Rattus norvegicus: one gene and its partners. The protein of the gene in region 3 interacts with the protein of the main gene of each other region in a biochemical or structural test. Links are inferred from orthologs where the notes say so. Each region holds a gene or a part of one and is shown on either strand. Other genes may lie near its edges.

Region 1 (4,224 bases), on a different chromosome or scaffold from region 3:
CAATGTCCTCTTCTGGTGTGTTTGAAGACAGCTGCAGTGTACTCACATACATAAATCTTTAAAAAAAACAAACAATTCTAACAATCAGAAAACAGTTCTAACAATCAGAGCCAGGCATGGTTAATATAAGCTTTGATCCCAGCACCTGGAAGGCAGGTCTCTGAGTTGAAGCCAGCCTGGTCTCCATAGCAAACTGCAAGCCAGCAAGATCTGGTCTCATAAAAAAATAAGCCCCAATTTAGATTCAGGTAGTTTAAAGTACGAAGAAGTGGGCTGGCAAGACGGGTAAAGGTACCTGTTGCTAAGCCTAACAACTGAGTTCAACCCCCAGGAGATCCACATGGTGGAAGAACTGACTCAAAAGCTGTCTTCTAAGGGGTTGGGGATTTAGCTCAGTGGTAGAGTGCTTGCCTAGGAAGCGCAAGGCCCTGGGTTCGGTCCCCAGCTCCGAAGGGGGAAAAAAAAAAAGCTGTCTCTGACTTCTCTGTGTATTCTCACACAAAATACAAGAGAGCATGGGAGCTGGAGAACTGTCTCAGCAGTTAAAGAGCCCTTGATACTCCATGAGGACCAGAATTCAGATCCTAGCATCCACACTGGGTGGCTCACAAATGCTTGTTACTCCAGCTCCAAAGGAGTCTCTCTTCAGATACATACGATTGGGCACACACAGGACTCTATAGATACTAACATGTAAGGCAAGTCAAAGGAAACGAGCAGGTAAGTGATAATAAAGCCATTTATTCATCAGCATCATGTGAGGTCAATTCAAAAGAATGCCAAGCCTTCAATTATCAATTAATCAATTATTCAGGTGAATACAAGTTCTTGATTACAAACCCAGAGAGCCCTAGCTAGCCTTGAGCATTCAACCCTCCTGCCTTAGAGGAAGTACTAAAATCACAAACATGCACCATCACACCTAGTAGTAAAATCTGGCGGTGTGTGTGTGTGGTTTTAGTACTCAAGGACTGAACCCAGAGCATCCCTATGCTAAACACAATCTAACAGGCTACGAACTCAGGTAAACTTCCATTTGGGGCTTAAATGTTAACCCATCAACATTAATCCATCATCTTTTTTTTTTTTAAAGATTTATTTATTTATTATATATAAGTACACTGTAGCTGTCTTCAGACACACCAGAAGAGGGCATCAGATCCCATTACAGATGGTTGTGAGCCACCATGTGGTTGCTGGGATTTGAACTCAGGACCTTTGGAAGAGCAGTCAGTGCTCTTAACCTCTGAGCCATCTCTCCAGCCCTATTTTTTTTTTTTAAACGGTTTCACTAGATGCAGCTCTGTCTGGACTGGATCTTACTATATACACAGCCCGCCTTGAACTTAGAGGCCCACCTGCCTCTAGGCCAGAATGCTGGGATTGGAAGATGTGTTACCAAGGACCCTATTTAATTAATCTTATTTCTGTCTGAGATTTTTTTTTCCTTTTAAAGAAACCAATTAAAAGATCTAGCCTGAATATATCACCCCAGCATTGGAGAGGTGGGAATCTCAAACTCAAGGACAGCGGAAGCTATACAGTTACACAAAAAAGAAAATGATTATGCCACCTCTGGATCCCAGGCCTCGAGGGGCAGGCAAACCTCTATGTTCCAGGCCAGCCAGGAGCACACAGTGAGACTGTCTACATAAAACAAGAGCCCTACCATATTTATCTGCCACCATCTGAAGCAGAGTGCTAATACTTACCCTAGAGCTGTTAGTGCACGTAAAATGCACTAACCACTCAATAAACAATATATTTAAATGCCGTCGTGTGCATCAACATGAAATGAAGTCAGAGAGGAGGAATACACTTTTTAAAATGCTAAGTTTACCAAAATAGGCTCAGGAGAGTGTTTCACTTCCATAACAGGTTCAGGCTCAGGCTCATCCAGTTCCACCTCTGGTTCGCACACTGGCACCTTGTCCACAGGTTTTGGTAGGGCTTTAACAGTAACTGTTCCAGAACCTAACTTTTTTGTTTCCTGTGGATGAAAGTGAAAGAACAGAATGTTTTTCCAACGGTGACACCTAGAAGATGGGCTTTTTCAGGATAACTGGACCAGGAAGATAAGTTACCTTTTTGAGGGGTATTCTTGACTGTTCGCTGACTTTATTACCAATGTCTCCAAGAGCAGTTCTCGATCTCAGCAGGGGTTTGGAGGCAGCAACTGCCACAGGCACACGCTTGGCGCCTGCCATGCTGACCTTGGCCTTATTTTCTGTGTTAATTTTCGTGTTCTGAAAGAAGTAAGAACCACTTGAGAGAGGATCCATGGCGGCTCCAGGAAGTCATGGGTTAATTAAGGCGGGACCCCACTATGGAAAGCAAGGGCTCTAGGATCTATCCTCCAGCCCTGACAAGCAGGTTTCCACCCAAAACGTTCACCTATTATCCAATTTCCCTTTAAGTCCCAAGCAATCCTAAACACGGTGAAATTTACATCGGAAAGGTAATCATGAAAGCCTCCTTGTAGACAGCTCTCTGGGAAGACTCTGGGCAGACAGACTCTGGGAAGATTCACTCTGGGCCTTCATCATTAAAAGCACACCACCCTACTCCCTCTAAGTCCTTCAGCCCAGATATGTCCCGAAGTCTTTTTTCACCCTCCAGGGAGGGTCCTTAGCTCCTCCATTGGCCGGAACCTTCCGGGCATCCCCTTCCCCTCCTGGCCGCCGCGGCCTTCTCCCACAGCGAGGACCGCAGCGCCCGGCCCGACTCACCCTAGTGACCCTGAGCGCCATGGCTCCTCCTGAAGCAGAGGTTCGCCGATCTGAGAAGACACCCTAACCTCTGGCTGCCCACACCTAAACACTAACAGCCGTTCCCCCACAGCACGCCGGGAGGAGTCTGCCGGGCCTGGGTTTAAACCCCGGGCCGCTCCCTCCTCATTGGTCAGTTCATGGCACTCGCTCTCTTCCCATTGGTGCTGCGGGTTCCCGTAGAATGCGTTTCCTGGGCGATCCCGCGATCCCAAGTTCGGCGAGGGGTGGGGCCAGAGCGAGGCTGTAGCTGGCAGCACCGCCCACCCCTCGTGAGGTCAAGCTCTGCGCCTGCGCACTCGCCTCTTTGCTGCCACCTGCTTTAGGTAGGCTTGGCCGGCAATGCCCACTTGTGTGCTGTCCAAGGCAACTCCGTTGGACCTTAGGAAAATGACTGTGGGGCCGCCACGTTTCTGGAGCACGCATAACAGTTTTGCTGTCCTATTTATTGTTTCTCTTTTTAAAAATAGATTTATTTATTTAGTATATATAAGTACACTGTAGCTGTCTTCAGACACACCAGAAGAGGGCATCTGATCCCATTACAGACGGTTATGAATGAGCCACCATGTGGTTGCTGGGATTTGAACAGGATCTCTGGAAGAGCAGTCAGTGCTCTTAACCGCTGAGCCATCTCTCCAGCCCCTACTTACTGTTTCTCATCCTCATCTACAGAAGTGCCAGTACTATCTTAAGAGTTCGCGAAAGCTTTGAAGCAGAGACAGTCTTTAGTATGATTGTTCCGACCGCTGCCTGGGATGGATTTTGAGGTTTATAGCATGAAGTTATAGCCTAAGCAAATAGATTAACATACCAATCGCCCCAATAGCTACTGCCCCAGGGACAAAAGAAAATGTGCCACATGCTTAATTTCGCTCCTGTTTAAGATTACTTCAAAAATACAGTTTTGTAGAATCTATTCTATTTAACAAGAATCCATAATGCAGCACTCCATCCTTCTACCTCAGACACCTTATTAAGGCTAAATAACTTCAGTGAAATCTTTTTCCACATTAAATTTCAGTAACATCAATGAGGATTTATTTATTTGTTGACCAGGATCTCTTGTAGCACAGGTTGTTGGCATTCCTTCTATGCTCTGCCCAACAGTTACCTAGCAACAGCCAGATAGGCCAGTTTGCTATAAAAAAAGAACTGCTTCTCTCCTCCTCTCCTTTCCCTTCCCCTCCCTTCCCCCTTCTCTCTGTCCTCTGTCCCCTCTCTTTCTCTGTCTCTATTCCTTTCTCAACTCCCTTTCCCATGCCCCCAAATAAACTATTCTGTACTAAACCCATCATGGCTGGTATCTGGTGTGAAGGGTATATGCTTCAGCATCGGTCCACTGAGGTATTCCCTCCCACCACACCATACTGTGCTCTGTAAAACATATCCTTGGTTTTATAAAATACATCACAGGTCGAAGTCCCTATGTAGCTGAGAATGACCTTAAATCTCC
Region 2 (3,900 bases), on a different chromosome or scaffold from region 3:
GAGAACTGCTAATTAAGCTAAAGTGGTGTGGATGTGTATGTATATATATATATAAAATATATATATATATAACTAATAAGAGGGTATTTGCTCAGTGCTAACAGCTCTGGATATTTTTTATTTGAAAATCTATTATGAGCTGAACTTAATAAACTGTTTTGTCTTTAACATTATGCTTCGAATAAACTTTCTGGAAAACTTTTCTGTTGCATAAAAGCTTCCCAATTCATGTAAAACCTTATTTGTAAAAGTTGGTAAATAAAATGTCTCCATAAACTACTGTAACATGTGAGCTCTGAATGAGTTCTGCTACACTGAAAACAGATTCATCTACTTTTGGTTACTTATAACCAAGTCAGAAACTTGGTTTGGTTGCTTACAATTATTAAAATCAATGTCAAAATTTGAAGGCATCTTTCCCTGAAATATTTTATTTTATAAAAAGCTTTCCCTACCCCACCCTCAACAATAAAACAAATCAAATTAGCTTTTTTAAGTGACATCATTCTTTTTGCCTCAAATTAACTTTGACTTGCAAAGATTTCTGAATCAATTTATTCTTATTATCCTGACAGTTGGCAGCACCAATGTTAACAAACCAATTAAAATTAGCCAAATTATCTATCACTTTCAAAGATTTCCAAATCAATTTATTCTTATTATCTTGACAGTTGGCAGCACCAATGTTAACAAACCAATTAAAAATTAGCCAAAATCTAAGATAGACACATGTACAAAAGATATACAAATTAAAACCATTTTAAAAGTAATGGATAACATAATTTGTCTGTGGCTATACCATCTACATTCAGAAATGATTGTGAAATTAAAACCAAAGATAAAAACTGTACAGCATGAACTCTGAGCGATTTCCATTTCAGTCTTTCACTCTCACACATTTAGTGTCTCTGGTGGGTTGAGAAGAGAAACACTGTGATATCTGTTAAGCAGAGGAAATAAAAACCTATTAGTAAACATTCATCGGGGAGATCACAGAACAAACAATTTATGCGTCCCAAGACTGGAGAAATGCTACTTTTATTTGATTAGACTAATGAGTTTAAAAACATTTGATACTTAGGACACATATCTGTTCCCTTACCCATCTCTTACCAGATGCAAAGGCACAAAAGCTTCCTATGTTGACATAAGATCTTACTGAGGTGGCTGTGGCATATTACTGTTATCCTTTAGTCAGTAAAGAATATGGTTCTTACTTTGAATGCTTGTACTTTTCCCTTATTGACTGTTGGGCATGCTGTGGTGCTTTGAGGTAGGTCTGGTGAAGGTCCATGAGACAAGGCTTAAGACTTTCTAGGGTATATCCAGTCTTTTGTACCAATGACTCAGGCTACAAAGAGACAACCATTGAGTTTTTAGTAACAGCACAGGGCACTGACCATGAACTCACAGTTGATCTAAATGTTGGCACTAATCTTTGACACATTTTTTAATTTTAATTTTTATAAATTTATTTACATTCCAAATGTTGACCCCTCCCCTTTGCCTCCGAGAGTGCCAACCCCCACATTTTAGCTCACTCTTTTGACTGTTTACTTCCCCTGCTCGCAGCAGGTGACTCAGACTCTAGAAGCAGAGCTTTCAAATGCAAGTTTAAGGTTAAGACAAAGAACACCAATACTTGTGAAGGCAACAGTTAATACATACCCAGCTTTGTCCTGTGACTGTGTAGAGAGCTAAGTGGAAGGCAGCTCCAGCAATAAGCGATGGCAAATACTTGAGGTATGGGTCAGCATCTATCAAACTTAACTCTCCCAAAAACTGCAATGAAAACCAAAACCAAAACAACTTTACAGTCACACATCAGACTCAGATTCAAAACCTTGCTTCTTGACCAGTTTCTATTGTCTTGGGTACTCTCACTGGTTCCGTACCAGCCCTGGGAAAATTATTTCAATGTTCTGCTCTATTCTCAGCTAATAACTTAAAACAGCTACTAGGATGTTCTCTTTAAACCACTAGTTAGTGCCTTTCTGGAATGGTCATCTTTGGGCCTTCATTGGAAAATTCTCTCCTGGACCTCTCAGCCCTTATCCACGGACACCAGATACTCAAGTCTCTTACATATGCCATTTCATAAGCTAATGCTACATGCATATCACTAGTACAATATTACGTGTAATACAAAAAAGATCGATTGATATGTGTTTATCCAGTACATAGGCAGTTACATTTAATGTCTGTTCATTGATTCCATATGCGCAGAGCCCACAGATATAGAGGGCTATAGGATTTTCTGTGTATTGGAGCATTAACTATCTGGAAATACTTTCTCTCTTAAGCAGTGTTATACAATGAAACTAAGGGCTTGCCCCTAATTGCAACCTAAAACAAACCCCAAACTGGACTTACCATCGCTAAGCTTTCTACCTTGCAGTTGGCAGGCTGCAGGTGCAGGAAGTACTGGGTAAGGAACTGATTTACTGTTGGTGCAGCCAAGTCAAAAGCAAGGACTTTCAATACAAGGTGCTCCATTCTCAGAACCTGCTTCTTGGAATAGGTATCGTCCGTAATATACACAAACTCTGCTACTTCTGGGGGGTATATTTCTTCAAACTTTCTATAACAAAAGAAGTTGTAAATGAGTTTTTTCAAAAGAAGGTCTTGTCTACATAGACTGTACTCTACTCACTTCCACCAACCACACTCCCACTGACAGTTGACTGCCATCTCTAGCTGAGATGATTAAAAACCAATTCATAGGCCCAAATCACTAAGGGACTTCTGATTTGTCTCCTGAATACAATTTTTTTTTAAATTTCCTGATGTAAGGAAGAATTTGTTTATACTCCAGAAAGCACTTTATTGTAGAAGAACCATACTTTCAAACTCTTCATCTAGTGTGATAAAATGTATTCTCATTCAAGGCATGTAAAATCCAGATCTGGAAAGCTTTATATTTTAGACTTGAAAACAAGTTTCACCCTCTACTCAGAATCATCCCATAGCCATCCCTAAAGGTGTCAGTGTTAAAACTGGGGGTTGAAGAGATGGCACAATGACTGGGACCCAATGCCCTCTTTTGGCCTCAGCAGGCACCACACATGTGCTACAGATACGCACGATGCACAAAGGCAAAACACCCAATAAAATATAAATGGAATATAAATGGGGGGAAGGAGTGGTGAGTGATGATTTTGAACCAAATTAGCTAGACTTACGAAGCTAGCAGCATAGCAGCTGTGCCCACAAGCTGAAGCTTTCCTCTTAACACAGACATGGAGGAGAGGAATCTATCAATGTAGTTCACAGCCAAATGCAGGGTCTCATTCTGTAGTTTATATTCTTCTCCCACTTCAACTAGCCAGTCCACAAGGATGGCCCGCATACTGTTAGTGATGTCTGGCTGCCTCTTCATATAACTCACTTTAGGTTTACATTTAACCTGAAGAAAAACTCAGTAGGGTTAATTAAAACTATGATTAGTTACTTCACCATTCACAAAGACACAATTAACATACACTGTAGCCGTTAAGTTTAGCGTTGGAGTAACTTGCTAGCAGTTAGCAGGTGTCCATCGTTAGCCTCTCTGCTTCACTTAGCCATTTTTGATGAACAGAGCCTTACCTCCATTTCCCTAAGGTACGTGTGAATATCTTCATGATAGTCAGGTACTTCATTAACATTCACTGGCTTTTCGTCTTCTAAGACAATAGATATATCCATAGCATGGGGTGATTCTGTGTATGACATTAAAGTCAAAGTATTTATCTCTTTCGATAAAAACACCCTAATGGCAAAGCAACACTGAATATCTTATTCTGGTTTTAGGGCTACTGTCCTCATAGCTCTAGGATAACCTTAATCCCAAAAAAGAAGTATACATCAGTAGGCTACTAAGAGGACTGAGAATTACCTTAACGTGTCATCTTCCTCAAG
Region 3 (2,991 bases):
TCTTTTTTTTTTTTTTCCTTAATTCAAGACAAGGTTTCTCTGTGTAATCCTATCTGTAATCCTGTGTAAACAAGTCCTAGAACTTAAGCTATAGACTCCAGACTGGTCTTGAACTCACAGAGATCCACCTACTTCTGCCTCCCGAATTCCTGGATTAAAGCTGTGTGCCACCACTTCCCAGTTTCTCAAAATCTTTTAATTTGTATAAATGTAGGTTCCTCAACAGTATTCTAAAATACTGGCCTTCTTGTCATTTAAACATGCAAAAACTACCAATGTTGTTATTGGCTATTTATAAAGAGTGTGAGTGATTGTGCTGTTCTTTTACTTTCAAAATCTCACTGGCCATCTATCTCATTCAAGGGCGGTAGAATCTCCTTGAAAATTCTTCTGAAAGTTTTAGAATTTTTCTTAGGTAAAATATTTTTTAAGGTAAGTATTTTCTGTCTCCAAATATCCCTAGGAAATTGTGAAAGCCCATTGATCAGAACCATATCTAATTTATTTTTACTTAGAATTAAGGTGATTGGCATCTGAAGTTAGTGATTCCTTTTTATGTGTTTGAGATATGTTTTAATTATTTATGTACATGAGGGTTTGCCTACATGTATATATGTGCATCACTTATATGTCTAATACTAGCAGAAGCCTGAAATCCCCTGGGACTGGAGTTATAATCAGTTGCAAGCTGTCCTGTGGGTGTTGGAAACTAAACCCAAATCTCCAAGAGTAGCAAGTGGTCTTAAATGCTAGGCTGTCTCTACAGCTCCTAAATATAATGATTTTCAATCTCTCTACTTCAAAGAAGTCACTCTCACACTAGAAATATTGCATTTTCCATTAAAGATATCAACCCTGTACAAAGTACTAGGAGTTTGAACTATTTTAAAGAGAGATATTTAAAGTGGTTAATTTCAGTTTGTAGCCCCTAGGCCTGTGTTATTTGCTACAGATACAAACAACGTTTTTGCCCAAACCAAAAGAACTATTAGTTTTACTCTTGAAAAAATTAAAGGCGGTATCTTTGTACAAATCCTCTTAAGTAATGTTCCTTGCATCCTTCGTATAAGTTTACGGAAACATGCAAGTAACTCTCAGGATGCTCTCTGCTCGGTGGATTTTTAGTAAACACTGGAGGGATTTTTAAAAATACCTTTGGTCAGTTGCGTGGGATTCAAAAAAGCACAACCAGGTACGTGAATCCGAAGGCTGTTCTCCTTTGGAACTCCAAACTGCCAATTTCTGTGGCATTATTTTCGGCAGTAAGTAAAAATTTGGTGACTAACAAACACAATTTGGGATTGTAACCTTGAGTCGCTGCGGCCAGAGGGCGGTGGATTGGACGTTCCACCAATCACAGCCCAGCACCGGCTTATATAAACCCGGAGCCTGAGCAAAGGAGCATTGCAAAATTTGCTCTTCGCGTTAGGTTTCCTTTTCTTGCAGATTTTATTCTCGCCATGTCTGAAACTGCTCCCGCCGAGACTACGGCTCCCGCTCCTGTAGAGAAGTCTCCCGCCAAGAAGAAGACAAAAAAAGCTGGCGCGGCAAAGCGCAAGGCCACTGGCCCCCCGGTATCTGAGCTCATAACTAAGGCTGTTTCTGCCTCTAAAGAGCGCGGCGGCGTGTCCCTGCCTGCTCTGAAGAAGGCATTGGCTGCTGGTGGCTACGATGTGGAGAAGAACAACAGCCGCATCAAGCTTGGGCTCAAGAGTTTGGTGAGCAAAGGTACCCTGGTGCAAACAAAAGGTACTGGCGCCTCTGGTTCCTTCAAGCTTAACAAAAAGGTGGCTTCCGGCGAAGCCAAGCCCAAGGCTAAGAAGACTGGGGCTGCCAAGGCCAAGAAACCTACAGGTGCCACCCCGAAGAAGCCCAAGAAGACTGCCGGGGCCAAGAAGACCGTGAAGAAAACTCCAAAGAAAGCAAAGAAGCCTGCAGCGGCTGGAGTAAAGAAAGTTACCAAGAGCCCTAAGAAGGCCAAGGCTGCTGCCAAGCCTAAAAAGGCGACTAAGAGCCCGGCAAGGCCCAAGGCGGTGAAATCTAAGGCGTCCAAGCCTAAAGTTACCAAGCCCAAGGCAGCTAAGCCTAAGGCTGCCAAGGTAAAGAAGGCTGTTTCCAAGAAGAAGTAAGCTTGCTTGTAACAGCAGCAAAGCCCCAAAGGCTCTTTTCAGAGCCACCCAGAGAACTCTGTGAATGTAGCTGTACACACTTTAAGCTCTCCCGGGTTGTTATCTCCCAATTGGGCCAACCAACTGGAACACCTTCCCGCCCTGATTTGGGCCCTGTGCTCAATCTACAAGGTAAGACGGTTTAGTCTTACCTATGGATAAATTGGTTATGTTGGCTGTTGGTAGTCTCGCGGCCCACTATGGTCACTTGGGACCTGTACGTGGGCCATAACTGCCCAGTGTGGAATAAAAGCGTTGTTAGTAGCCAACATTCACTTAGGATTAAGTGAGACCTCGCGCGAAAAATAACTCATTGGCTGTGTCGTATTACCTAAACCAATGGTACTCTGGTTTATTACTGACTTTAAACTTGATTGGACAGTCATTAGAAGACGTTTACAGATAACGCGGTATTCATCGCCATAGTCTGTTTAAAATGAAGCCAGTGCGGAGACCATCTTCCCTCCCCCTCCTTTAGAGTTTCCTTAACAGAGCTTGAGCTGGTGGAAGTCTCGGTCCGACTGGAAGGGCTCGTAGAAGGCGAGGGACAAGTATGCAGAACAGCAAGAGGTGGAGCCAAAGCTGCAAGGTCCTGAAGCAGGCCCCCCAACACGGGCATCTTTTCCAAAGGCTGTGTACAAATTTCCACTCTCAAGTCATTTACGCTTTTTTTGGAGCCTTTTTGCTCAGTTCTTCCATTGGAAGCACCCAGACACTGAAGTCCCTTAATGAACGGTCCTTTTGTGTTAAAGGTTTGTTAATGTAGTAATGGGTGTGACACTCCCCTACATAGGACTTTCACTGTATTTGTTTAACATTAGAT
Region 4 (3,566 bases), on a different chromosome or scaffold from region 3:
GTGTGGGATGCTTATGCAACCAACTTGGGAAGGTGTTGACACAGCTACGATATAACTCGCAACTAAGATGCCTGTTGTGTCAGCTATGCCAACTAGTAAAGAGGCCCAACACATGGCCACACAGCAAGTTGTTTATTCTTTTAAAATACCTGTCTATATCTATATAAATTATAAACTACCGACGTCTAAAAGAACCTAACACTCATATGTTGAAGGTGACATCTACAACTGACATTAGTTGGCCCGACCCGCAGAAAACTGTAACAGGTCAGAGTAAGCCTGCTGGTGTGGCTGTTGAGCTGACCCGTTCACTGCAGGGGAAGAACTACGGGTGGCTCCATGAGGGACACGTGCAGGTACCTGAAACGAGAGCACAGCCAGGTCAGCCCAGGGCCAAGGATGCCAGTTAGGCTACAGAAAACCTCCAGCAGTCTGAAGGGTCAGAAGGAAGCCAGCTAACTATAACTGCCAAACGCTGGCAAACTGTGAATCTAGCTAGATCTTCCTAAATGTCTTTTCTTGACTTAGCGAGCAACCTTGTTTTCCAACCTAATGAAAGATAGAATTTATTCTACTTCTTTTTGTTGTTCTGATTCCACAACAACCCAGAAAGCAAGGAAGGGAGAGTGCCCACTTACTTCGAAGCCTTGTACTTCTCCCTGATTGCTTGCTGCGGTCGATGGGGTATACTGAGGCATGCTTTATGCAGCTCACTCAGGCAAGGCACAATCTCATTTAATGAATAGCCCGTAAATGCAGCAAGTGTTTCTGGCTAATTGAAACGAAAAGGAAATTTTGCTTCACGTAACTTTATAAGAGGTTAGAAATCTGAACATAACTGCTTATGAAGTGAAGGGTGAAGTGAAATTCTTGGTGAGCAAGTATATCCATCCAGAAAGATTCATAACCCCTTCCTTTAGAAACCTTACACTAGAACCAAACAGCCTGGGTTCTAAACTGGCAGGAGTATAGTTGTAACCCTCAGTGTAGAGGCAGACCACTGTTCTTGATCCTATGTGGGTGGGGCTTTCACTGATTCTTAATAATTTACACTAAATATGAGAGATTGCATAGAATAGAGATCCCTAGTCAAAAGACAACCCTTGATAGGAGGAGAAAAGTTCTCCTCTGACCTACATCTCTCTCTGTCTCTCTCTCTCTCTCTCTCTGTCTCTCTCTCTCTCTCTCTCTCTCTGCCTCTCTCTCTCTCATACACACACACAAACACATGTGCATGCAGATAAATACATTTTTTAAAAGAGTTATCTAGTATCATAAGAAATAAAAGTAGATAACTCATTTCTTTTAGCACTCCGAGAAAATTTAGAATAAAATGTAGGGATCTGTTTCTGATCTTTCTGCCTTCTGAGGCAAGAAACAGTCATTACTGAACTTGGAGGGGTTTTGTTGTTGTCGTTGTTACAGAAGCTGAATGCTACTAATGTTTGTTTTATTGAGATGGTCTCCCTCTGAGACCCAGACTGGACTTGGACTAACAATCCTCCTGCCTCCACCTCACAGGCACTTATAATATAGGTGTGCACCACTCCAGCTGTCTAGGATCAACTTTAGCTTGGCATGGCCAATGGCTAAGCCTCAAGGCCCTCTATGCATATTTTGTTGGGCACTGAGGTTCCCAGGCCTTCCTGATTCCGTGCTATTTCTGCTTCCCACAGAGCAAAGCCATGGCATCAAAGCCATGGTGACTGATCTAGAAGACTCAGAAACAAGCTGTGGTCTGCTGCCATGACAACCAGCTATCATGAAAAAAACTTTCCCTCAGAAGGCTTGTGTCCATTCTGAATCTTGAACTCACTGAACAGATTTTGTATGAACTTTGAATGTGTTCTACTTAGGAAGAAGACAGAAACGTACCCAGAAGTGTCTGTTCACAATATAGTTTGCCAGACAGTAAGCTGCTGCTGCTACCAAGGAAGGAAGATACTTCAAGAATGGGTCAGCTTCCAGAAGGCTCAGTTCTGCAACATACTAAGGGCAAGAGAGAAAAATCTCAGTGGAGTAAGAAATTTGAGCAAGGTCCAATTTGACTAAAATTGTCAGTAAACCTGGAATTGCCAAACTCACCAATTGGTTCCTTATTTTCATTCCCTCAGAATCTAATGATGAGCCCCAAACTTAAGCCAGGTATATTTCCTAGTTCCATAGTTGCTCTGACTGTCCTTCGACTGACTAATGTTTGTGTTGTGATGATGTTCCCATACCCTATCTCACCCACACGGCATATGTGATAGGTTACTTCTCTTATCTAGTAGATCAGGCTTTACGGTGGTCAGATAAGGGAGTATTGAGCTCACATCTCAAATAGAAAGAGTCATTAGCCAGGAGGCAAAGAAACAGCCATACTGAAGCTAGCAATGGCTAGGCAAATTGATACAGTTCTCAAGCTCAAGCAATGCCATTGGAGACGTGTCAGGAGAATGCAGGGAAATCTTTGTGGTCATCTTTATTACTCTTTGAATAGCGTGTGTTTCACAGATTTCCCATGGCAAGCTCACTGGCTAGGACAGAGTGCTAATAATTCCAACTAAGTGCCTCTAGATCAAAATGGCTGCAGATTTCGTGCTGCTTTATTTCTTACTGAATTAGAATAAGATTCAAACAAAACCCAGCCACGTTTTACCTTGCTCCCAAGTTAAAAGGCGCTGCTCGCCTGCGGTCTGCATCTCTCAAGGGAGCTTACCGTGCTTAAGAGTCTTTGATAGTCGGGAGCTACGTGACTGGGACCTGCCAGTACCATCAACAGCAATGTCTGGTGAGCAGGCATCGTGTTTTTAAGACAACTGCCTTTCACCTCTACAGAGATGGAAACCCGGGAGGGATGGGCGTGGAAGGTGGTTGGAAAGGTGGCTGTCCCCAGAAGTCCTGTGGCATACCTTGGCCAAATTCTCAGTCCTGATGCACACCCCTTGCCGCCTTAAGTACTGAAGGAGGAACTGGTTGGTGGTTGGAACGGTCAGATCGAATGCCAGGACTTTCAGCAGCAGATGCTCCATCCTCAGTAGCTGTCGCTTTGTGTACGTGTCGTCAGTGATGTAGACAAACTCATCGACATCGGGCGGGTATATCTCTTCGTATTTCCTGGGGGGCGGGTAAGGAATTATCAGGGGGAAAGTTTGGAACGGTCGTCTCTAGCTCCTGTCCTCTCGCATGGCCCTGGAGGCTTATTCACTTTATACTGCCATTGCCACAGAACCATCAGAGAACTGTGTGGGCTATAAACATACTGTGAGCTTTTTCTCAGTCCGCGAGAGTACCGCAAGGGTATGGTATACTAACTGCTGGGAACTGTGACAGGTTGGGGACTTTGAAACACTGACTAGGTCTAAAGGACACATGCTTCAGCTGGATCCCTGTTGGTTGAATAGATATTGGGTCACTTTGTGAGAAGAATGTTAGGATCAAACCAATAACAGAAAAAAAACAATCCCATAGCTTTGGTGGCTTTAGCTGTGCTTTGTTTTGTTTCTGAAGACCATATTAAATTATTCAACTTCATTAGTTAGCAAAGGATACTGAATCACCAAGAGAAAAATAACAATATAATT

The links.
Region 1: of the proteins of H1f5 (region 3) and Ccnb1, one has a biochemical effect on the other in vitro, tested with the Homo sapiens proteins (2 studies listed by BioGRID). The link is inferred for Rattus norvegicus from reciprocal best matches to the Homo sapiens genes H1-5 and CCNB1.
Region 2: of the proteins of H1f5 (region 3) and Ccna2, one has a biochemical effect on the other in vitro, tested with the Homo sapiens proteins (2 studies listed by BioGRID). The link is inferred for Rattus norvegicus from reciprocal best matches to the Homo sapiens genes H1-5 and CCNA2.
Region 4: of the proteins of H1f5 (region 3) and Ccna1, one has a biochemical effect on the other in vitro, tested with the Homo sapiens proteins (2 studies listed by BioGRID). The link is inferred for Rattus norvegicus from reciprocal best matches to the Homo sapiens genes H1-5 and CCNA1.

What each region holds. Positions count from the first base shown.
Region 1 is NC_086020.1:33,652,375-33,656,598, forward strand, and holds the start of Ccnb1 (G2/mitotic-specific cyclin-B1), read right to left. Parts: upstream 2,852-4,224; 5' UTR 2,751-2,851; coding exon 2,730-2,750; intron 2,247-2,729; coding exon 2,085-2,246; intron 1,991-2,084; coding exon 1,841-1,990; intron 1-1,840. UniProt on the Homo sapiens protein: Essential for the control of the cell cycle at the G2/M (mitosis) transition.
Region 2 is NC_086020.1:121,354,826-121,358,725, forward strand, and holds the end of Ccna2 (cyclin-A2), read right to left. Parts: intron 3,702-3,900; coding exon 3,589-3,701; intron 3,407-3,588; coding exon 3,183-3,406; intron 2,582-3,182; coding exon 2,374-2,581; intron 1,783-2,373; coding exon 1,669-1,782; intron 1,352-1,668; coding exon 1,218-1,351; intron 941-1,217; coding exon 892-940; 3' UTR 538-891; downstream 1-537. Other genes in the region: Exosc9 (exosome complex component RRP45), read left to right, coding at 1-16. UniProt on the Homo sapiens protein: Cyclin which controls both the G1/S and the G2/M transition phases of the cell cycle. Functions through the formation of specific serine/threonine protein kinase holoenzyme complexes with the cyclin-dependent protein kinases CDK1 or CDK2.
Region 3 is NC_086035.1:47,420,472-47,423,462, forward strand, and holds H1f5 (histone H1.5), read left to right. Parts: upstream 1-1,403; 5' UTR 1,404-1,460; coding exon 1,461-2,129; 3' UTR 2,130-2,434; downstream 2,435-2,991. UniProt on the Homo sapiens protein: Histone H1 protein binds to linker DNA between nucleosomes forming the macromolecular structure known as the chromatin fiber. Histones H1 are necessary for the condensation of nucleosome chains into higher-order structured fibers.
Region 4 is NC_086020.1:141,383,235-141,386,800, forward strand, and holds the end of Ccna1 (cyclin-A1), read right to left. Parts: intron 3,100-3,566; coding exon 2,895-3,099; intron 1,990-2,894; coding exon 1,876-1,989; intron 773-1,875; coding exon 639-772; intron 361-638; coding exon 309-360; coding exon of another isoform or gene 235-308; 3' UTR 119-234; downstream 1-118. UniProt on the Homo sapiens protein: May be involved in the control of the cell cycle at the G1/S (start) and G2/M (mitosis) transitions. May primarily function in the control of the germline meiotic cell cycle and additionally in the control of mitotic cell cycle in some somatic cells.